Xenopus tropicalis: one gene and its partner. The protein of the gene in region 2 interacts with the protein of the main gene of each other region in a biochemical or structural test. Links are inferred from orthologs where the notes say so. Each region holds a gene or a part of one and is shown on either strand. Other genes may lie near its edges.

The links.
Region 1: the proteins of cdc25b (region 2) and ywhab form a complex in vitro, tested with the Homo sapiens proteins (2 studies listed by BioGRID). The link is inferred for Xenopus tropicalis from reciprocal best matches to the Homo sapiens genes CDC25B and YWHAB.

Annotation. Positions count from the first base shown.
Region 1 is NC_030686.2:12,511,760-12,515,854, forward strand, and holds the start of ywhab (14-3-3 protein beta/alpha), read left to right. Parts: upstream 1-1,196; 5' UTR 1,197-1,284; intron 1,285-4,095. UniProt on the Homo sapiens protein: Adapter protein implicated in the regulation of a large spectrum of both general and specialized signaling pathways. Binds to a large number of partners, usually by recognition of a phosphoserine or phosphothreonine motif.
Region 2 is NC_030677.2:15,574,591-15,579,005, forward strand, and holds the start of cdc25b (M-phase inducer phosphatase 2), read right to left. Parts: upstream 2,900-4,415; 5' UTR 2,375-2,899; coding exon 2,190-2,374; intron 219-2,189; coding exon 124-218; intron 1-123. UniProt on the Homo sapiens protein: Tyrosine protein phosphatase which functions as a dosage-dependent inducer of mitotic progression. Directly dephosphorylates CDK1 and stimulates its kinase activity.

The DNA of each region.
Region 1 (4,095 bases), on a different chromosome or scaffold from region 2:
AGGGTTTCTGTAGCAAACACCCCAGCTGTACCAGTGCAGGAACGGCTGCCCCCGGGGCTACACAGCGGGGTATTTATATAAACTATAGTAGGGTTTCTGTAGCAAACACCCCAGCTGTACCAGTGCAGGAATGGCTGCCCCCGGGGCTACACAGCGGGGTATTTATATAAACTATAGTAGGGTTTCTGTAGCAAACACCCCAGCTGTACCAGTGCAGGAATGGCTGCCCCCGGGGCTACACAGCAGGGTATTTATATAAACTATAGTAGGGTTTCTGTAGCAAACACCCCAGCTGTACCAGTGCAGGAATGGCTGCCCCCGGGGCTACACAGCAGGGTATTTATATAAACTATAGTAGGGTTTCTGTATATGTAATATTTTTATTACTTTAAAACAATTTCATTTTTGGTGTTTCTTTTCCTTTAAACATGTGGTATATTTTTTTTAACTGCAGGTCAGTGTGCCAAGGGTCCCCTGTAGAATAATTGCAGCTTGAAGGGCCACAGGCAGCCAGCAGCTTCTGAAACAAATACAATATCACTAGGCCGGTATGAGGCTGTACAGGGGCCCTAGAGGCAAAGGGACAATGGTGTAGGCCACTCGGTCAGCCTGACAGCAAAGGTCCCGAAGCACACGTTACAATCGCCCAAACTATTGCTTTATCGAAGCAGTTCATTGATTATTTTCACAACACCATTTTATTGAAATTGAATAAGCTAGATTTTTTTTTTTTTTCAAAGGGGGTGGGGAAAGATAAGCGGACGACAAAATGGAGACTGCAGCAGGTTAGACGCCTTCATTCCCCACAGAATGCACAATAACACATTCTGTATACCCCACGATTGAGAAACTCAATAATACTCATAACTGTGTCAGGGCAGCTTAATCCCCCTGATTTCTGCCCAAAAGCCCCGCAAAGTGTCGCCTCAAACCCCCTACAAGCTGACACTTGCCTCCCCTTCCCGCCCAGACGCGCTTCCTCCCACCCCTCCTGCTAAGACGGTTGACGTCATCTCCCCGTTGCCGAGGAAACGATGAGGTCACCCCGCTTCTCCCCTCCCTCCAGTGAAGCCGCCAGTGCTTGTTGTACTGTCAGGAGTTTAGAACTGAAGGAGAAAGGTGGAGGGGAGGGGCTTGGAGGCGGGGCTTGAAGGAAGCGGAAGTGGCGGCTGGAACGGAAGTGGAACGGCCAGTGAATCTGCAGGAGAGGAGGAGAACGGTGAGGGAAGCTGAGCTAGCCCGGGTCGAATTACTGAATCTATTGGCAGGTCGCGGATTTTTGAGGTACGTGCGATGGCAGAGAGCGTAGTGCATTCGTGTGGGAGATGGCGGCCATTCTATAGCCGCCTATGGGGTCGCTCCTTACAAGGGCGGGGATCTGTGCGCGGCCTGGATCCCTTTCCCCAGCGCCTGGGGCTCAACATCCGCTCGCTTTCCCCATTGGGGCCCCCTTAGTACCCCACACCCTCCGATGCGCAGGGTAACCTCGCCCGATCCGTAGGCCTCTTTCCGACCCTGTCAGCCGTATTATCCCCAGCCCTGCCCTTACACAGCTCCCAGCATTTCCCGTTACATGCTTTCCCTGTTAAATGGAAAATACGTATATAATTAATAGACTTTTTTTCTTTGTTATGGAAAACCTATAACCGCACATTATTGATTATTTTTTTTTTACCCCTTAATGTCATTCGTTGCCGGTGCCCCAAAGCTTTTTGTAGGCAATATCTCATTTAACCTATAGACGTCATTGAAACAGCGACACCTAGTGGCCAGATGCTTGTATAGTGTCACAAAGCAATACCGCAATACTGAAAAAGCACCAAGATAGTCCCCTGTAATTCGCTGCAGAAGAGTGTATACAGCCAGCACACACCTTATATACAATAGGTTTCATATACATATACAATGTGTTTCATAATATCAATCAGGAAGTGATCTCTTTATTTCTGCAGCAGCAGGAAGTGGCAAATCAGGGAAACAAATGCTCCATTTGGGGATATCTACAATTATACAGGATCAGCAACTCTATGGGGTGTTTATTTGTAGCCTTTCCAAGCCCTGATCTATATGCAGGCCTATTTATCATTATCTACACTTTCTAGGCAGCCTGAGGGCTACAGTTCACATACACTAGATCCCAATTACTGAATCCGGTAGCTAAATTGTCATGCAAACCAAGAATGTCATCTATAGTTGTACATTACATTAACATTTATTTATAAAGCGCCAACATATTCCGCAGCGCTGTACAATAAGTGGGTTACATACATTGGACATACAGAGTAACATATAAAGCAATCAATAACTGATACAAGAGGTGAAGAGAGCCCTGCCCAAAAGAGCTTACAATCTACAAGATAGCACTGCAACTAGCAACATCCTTGTACAGGTATGGGATCCCTTATCCGGAAACCCATTATCCAGAAAGTTCCGAATTACATAAATGCCATCTCCCATAGACTTCATTATAAGCAAATAATGTAATAATAAAACAGTACCTGTACTTGATCCCAACTAAGATATAATTACCCCTTATTGGGGCAGAACAGCCCTATTGGGTTTATTTAATGGTTAAATGATTCCCTTTTCTCTGTAATAATAAAACAGTACCTGTACTTGATCCCAACTAAGATATAATTACCCCTTATTGGGGGCAGAACAGCCCTATTGGGTTTATTTAATGGTTAAATGATTCCCTTTTCTCTGTAATAATAAAACAGTACCTGTACTTGATCCCAACTAAGATATAATTACCCCTTATTGGGGGCAGAACAGCCCTATTGGGTTTATTTCATGGTTAAATGATTCCCTTTTCTCTGTAATAATAAAACAGTACCTGTACTTGATCCCAACTAAGATATAATTACCCCTTATTGGGGGCAGAACAGCCCTATTGGGTTTATTTAATGGTTAAATGATTCCCTTTTCTCTGTAATAATAAAACAGTACCTGTACTTGATCCCAACTAAGATATAATTACCCCTTATTGGGGCAGAACAGCACTATTGGGTTTATTTCATGGTTAAATGATTCCCTTTTCTCTGTAATAATAAAACAGCACCTGTACTTGATCCCAACTAAGATATAATTAATTCTTTCTGGAGGCAAAACAAACCCATTGGGTTTATCCAATATTTAAATGATTTAACTTAAATTGTGGAGATCCAAATTACAGAATGATCCCTTATCCGGAAAACCCCAGGTCCTAAGCATTCTGGATAACAGGTCCCATACCTGTATAACAAAGGGTTGCTGTGGGCCCTTGGGCTTATCATTCAGCCACTAGAAGGTAGTTGGTATTTCCTAAATAAAGTTGGCACTTATCTGGCTTTGCAGATAATGGATCTTTCCATTATTTGGGTCACCATACCTTGAGGCCTGCTAAAAAATAGTTTAACCATTAAATAAACCCAGTAGAATTTTAGCTTAGTTCCCATCAAGTACACAGTACTATTTAATACAGAAGAAAGGGATCTCGGTAAAATACATTTGAATTATTTACTTATAATGTGCTCTATGGGAGATGCTCTTCCTGTAATTCGTAGGTTTTTGGATAACGGGTTTTGGGTTAAAGGGATCCTATACCTGTTCCAATTTATCCATCTAGAGATATGAGTATATGCCCATATAGTGAGATGATATACAGCCATATAGGAAAAGGTCTGCCAATCTATACACACATTTCCTGATCTCCCATGTAGCCCCTAAGCCGCGCTTAATCAATACATTTCTTGGCTCCTTATTCAGCTGATGGTCAGTATTGATCCCTGACAAGCTGCCTTTAATCCTGCTATGACTCCCATCCATATTTCATGTGTACAGCTCTTAAAAAATCAGAAGTCTATCTCAAAAGTCTATCAAACAAAGGCATGCTTGGCTATATGAATAATTAATAATGGCACGTTTAGAGTGAGAATATAAACGTTCTGCCCAGTGTGCCTTGCCATGATTAAGCAGTTTGGTTCTGGAGTGCTGCATTGCATTCTATGTACCAGCAGAGTTTATGCCAACAAAACATTTTTTTTTTTAAATTCTTCTAACGTTTTAATTGCTTTTTTCTTTTACTCAGGATTAGCACTGTGGTTGCATATTTGC
Region 2 (4,415 bases):
GCACATCTAACTTCCTTTAGATATATATATATACACACACACACCAGGAAACATAAGTGCTCTTATTTACCACACTTCTATATATATCTGAGGATAAAAAAAACATCATCAATGGATCCTCACCGGAATCGGATGAATCGGAGGACGACGTTCGCGACAGGGAGGTGCACTGAGTCCGGAAGGAGATGCCATGTTTTCTTTTTGGCGTGTCACTTTGGCTGCAGAGAAATAAATATATATATCACCATGAAGCAGAGCATATTACACAGTGCAGAGCGCAGTCCTATACAGCAAACTCCCATTCCCACGCACTCAGGTGATCTCTCTGCTCTTTGGCCAGAACAATGGGGGCTTTCTCCGCAGAAAATATCCCATTTAATCACCAATTACAAACATTTGCACCTCCCCAGGGAAAGGGGACAAAGCCGTTTGTAGAGGAAGCCAAGCCTGATGGTATCCGTTATCTCCCAAAGCTCATTTCACTCTAATTAGGCAAATCCTTGGGGGGAGATGCGGGAAGATGGCAGATGGTAATGGCATAGTCCAAACCACACCAAATGGCACAGATAAGCACAGATCCTATGCGCAGGTATCGGCCCACGAGGCATTGCTACACAGCCCGGGGATGGGACGGAACACAGGACGGAAGCTTTGCACATAAAGGGGAACTTGTCAGCGTTACGAATTTCCAAGACAATGCAACTGTTGCCTTCCAAACTGATATCCAAGTACAGTAGCAGAACAATGTATGGCAGCTCCCACTCTTACGAACCCCTATAATCATAAACTTTGCCTTTTCTCTAGGTACTTACAGTATGAGGCTATAGGTCCACTGATCTGAATGAAAGTACCATTCCTGGGGGGTGAGGGGGTAGTGCGCAGGCGCGGACCCTTAGCCAGAGCAGGCAGGAAATGGCAGGGAAACAGAGAAACCCTTAGGGACAGATCTATTTACTGCATGAAAACAGGCCGCAGTATGTACCACCCAGCAACAGAAGAACCCCCCCCCCAATAACTTGTATCCTGCAGCCTGTACTGCATTTCAGTATGGAAAGCAAAGAAACCCAGGCAGTGGGGGCAGATTTTACCAGAGGCGCAGGGTGTGAAACCTCACTCAGTAACACAAGCTCAGAGCTTTGTTTGAACAATTGTGAAGCCTGACAGCTGATTAACAGCAACTCCCTGCTTCCTTGCCCTGTAGGGCGTACACATTCTCCTGTGTCCCATACAAACAAGGGATACTCAGTACAGAGGGGAGCAAGGCACAGAAGCTTGCAATCTAATTCACACCAGGGTTACAATAGCAGCAGATATAGTGGCCACTTAGTGCCAATGTCTTTAGCATTCTGCCCCTGGCACTGCCATAGGGTGCCACTAACCACACACAGCATGGGGAATATATTCTATTGCAACTTACCACTGCTCTGTGCTGCCATGAATTACCCATCATGCCTTGGCATTGCGCCTAAGGGCTGCCATGAATTACCCATCATGCCTTGGCATTGCGCCTAAGGGCTGCCATGAATTACCCATCATGCCTTGGCATTGCGCCAAAGGGCTGCCATGCTTTACCCATCATGCCTTGGCATTGCGCTAAGGGCTGCCAAGCTTTACCTATCATGCCTTGGCATTGCGCCTAAGGGCTGCCATCCTTAACCCATCATGCCATGGCATTGCTCCAACAGGCTGCCATGCTTTACCTATCATGCCTTGGCATTGCTCCTAAGGACTGCTATGCTTTACCCATCATGCCTTGGCATTGCTCCTAAGGGCTGCCATCCTTAACCCATCATGCCTTGGCATTGCGCCTAAGGGCTGCCATGCTTTACCTATCATGCCTTGGCATTGCTCCTAAGGACTGCTATGCTTTACCCATCATGCCTTGGCATTGCTCCTAAGGGCTGCCATGCTTTACCCATCATACCTTGGCATTGCGCATAAGGGCTGCCATCCTTAACCCATCTTGCCTTGGCATTGACCCTAAGGGCTGCCATGCTTTACCCATCATGCCTTGGCATTGACCCTAAGGGCTGCCATGCTTTACCCATCTTGCCTTGGCATTGACCCTAAGGGCTGCCATGCTTTACCCATCTTGCCTTGGCATTGACCCTAAGGGCTGCCATGCTTTACCCATCATGCCAAGGTACAGTACAAAAGCAATGTATAGTATATTTAAAATGAATTCTCACCTTCCTAGGCCGGCCAGCTTGTTCATGGTGAAAGCCAGACTGGTGACGGGGGACAAGACCCCAGATTCTTGGCACAGTAGGCCCCGGGCTCCAACCATGGCAAAGCCTGGCAGCAGGGTGGGTCTGGGCACAGGGACCTGGCTCCGGCTGGGACTGAAATCATTCAGCAGCTTCTCTAGCTCCATTGTTGGGGGGTCTGGGCTAGGAACTAGGGGTGCAAAGATGGGGTGCAACACAGCAAACTGGGGGGCTGCAAAGAGCAGGCAAAAGTGCAGAGCAATGCAGAGGCCTTTGTATATCCCGGGGTGCAGAGGCTTTAGTAGATCCTTATGCAGAGCAGGAAGTGCAGAGGCTTCAGAGTCACAGAGTCAGAAGTGCAGAGCTTGTTGCAGAACGGGAAAGGTGCTAAGCTGCAAGGGTGCTGATGTCAGGTTCCGGGGTGCAAAGCTGATGTCAGGTTCCGGGGTGCAGAGGCTGTTGCAGATCCTGGGGTGCAGCAGAGGGCAGTATATTGCACATGCAGAGGAGGGGTGGGGGGGCACAAGCAGAAAGAATATACAGCGATGGGATCGGGGGGTTCCAATGTGCCCTGTCCCCTACATGGGCGTCCCTATTTCAGGCAGATCATGGGCAGGGAAAGGAAATAAGAGGCACAGGGGCCCGACAATCGCTTCTCCGCCAGTCTCCAGCTTCTGCCCGCAGTCCCAGCGCTCCGCTCTTATATTCGAAAAATAACACAGCCAGGCGGCAGCGAACAGCCAATGGGAGGGGAGGGGCGTGGCCAGCGGCTGTCATAGACGTAGGCGGGAATCCGGGCTGTCAGTCACAGCCACATGTGTGTAGTGGTACTGTGGGGCTCTGGTACCGCTTTGTTATTATTGTAATTGGTCATCTGCAAAGGGGAACATATACATATATGTATTCATACAATAAAATCTAATCTTCCTGCTGTCCTTATAAATAAATATGAGGATGCTTTGGGGTATTTTGGGTGCAGCCTCTGTATGTTCCAACCCTCTCTCCTCCCCACAGATAAGAGACAGACTGAACTCTAAATAAAATGCAAACATTGTCAGATGAGCTGTTAAAAGCCCCAAAAGCTCACAATCTAGGTGAGAGAGGGAGGGGTTGTAAACCAGAACTCTAAATATTTATAGGGGGGTAAAATAACCTGCTAAATTCTGTAGAAATGTTGGATTTATATTTTAATTTAAGAAAAAAACAGACTTTCACTTACATTTTAGTGCAAGGTTTAGAAGACAAAGGTATATATATATATTGGTGATGTCATCAGTTATAATCAGAGCTTAGTGATGTCATTTCTGTCACATGACTCACTAAAACAAGTATATTTTAATAAATAAAGTACCCCCTGTTGTAAAAAATGAGGGTATTAGAAGTCACCTTCGGCCTTGTACTTTTATATAGTCATGGAACTCCTCAGTGACTTATAATATCCCTATATTTTACAATAGGGGGTACTTTATTCACTATATATTATAAGGAACTCCTCTGTGACTTATAATATCCCTATATGTTACAATAGGGGGTACTTTATTCACTATATATTATAAGGAACTCTAAGTGACTTATAATATCCCTATATGTTACAATAGGGGGCACTTTATTCACTATATATTATAAGGAACTCCTGGGGGACTTATAATATCCCTATATTTTAAAATAGGGGGTACTTTATTGACTATATATTATAAGGAACTCCTCGGTGACATAATATCCCTATATTTTACAATAGGGGGTACGTTATTCACTATATATTATAAGGAACTCCTCAGGGGCTTATAATATCCCTATATGTTACAATAGGGGGCACTTTATTCACTATATATTATAAGGAACTCCTCGGGGACTAACAATATCCCTATATGTTACAATAGGGGGTACTTTATTCACTATATATTATAAGGAATTCCTTGGTGACTTATAATGTCTCTATATTTTACAATAGTGGGTACTTTAGTCACTATATATTTGGTTTACAAACACCAAGAGTGAGTGGAGCGGAGATAATTCCATCCCCCTCTCTGCAGGAAATCTGTAGAACACACAGTGGGAATGTGCAGATATAAATGTGGAAAACATCTTGTAAGAAACAATTAAGCAATCATTATCAACCCTCTGGACTTTTAGGAAAAATATTTTCCAACATAACTGTGAGAAATTTGTGGTAAAACTAATTGCTATTACTATAATCATTTAGAAACA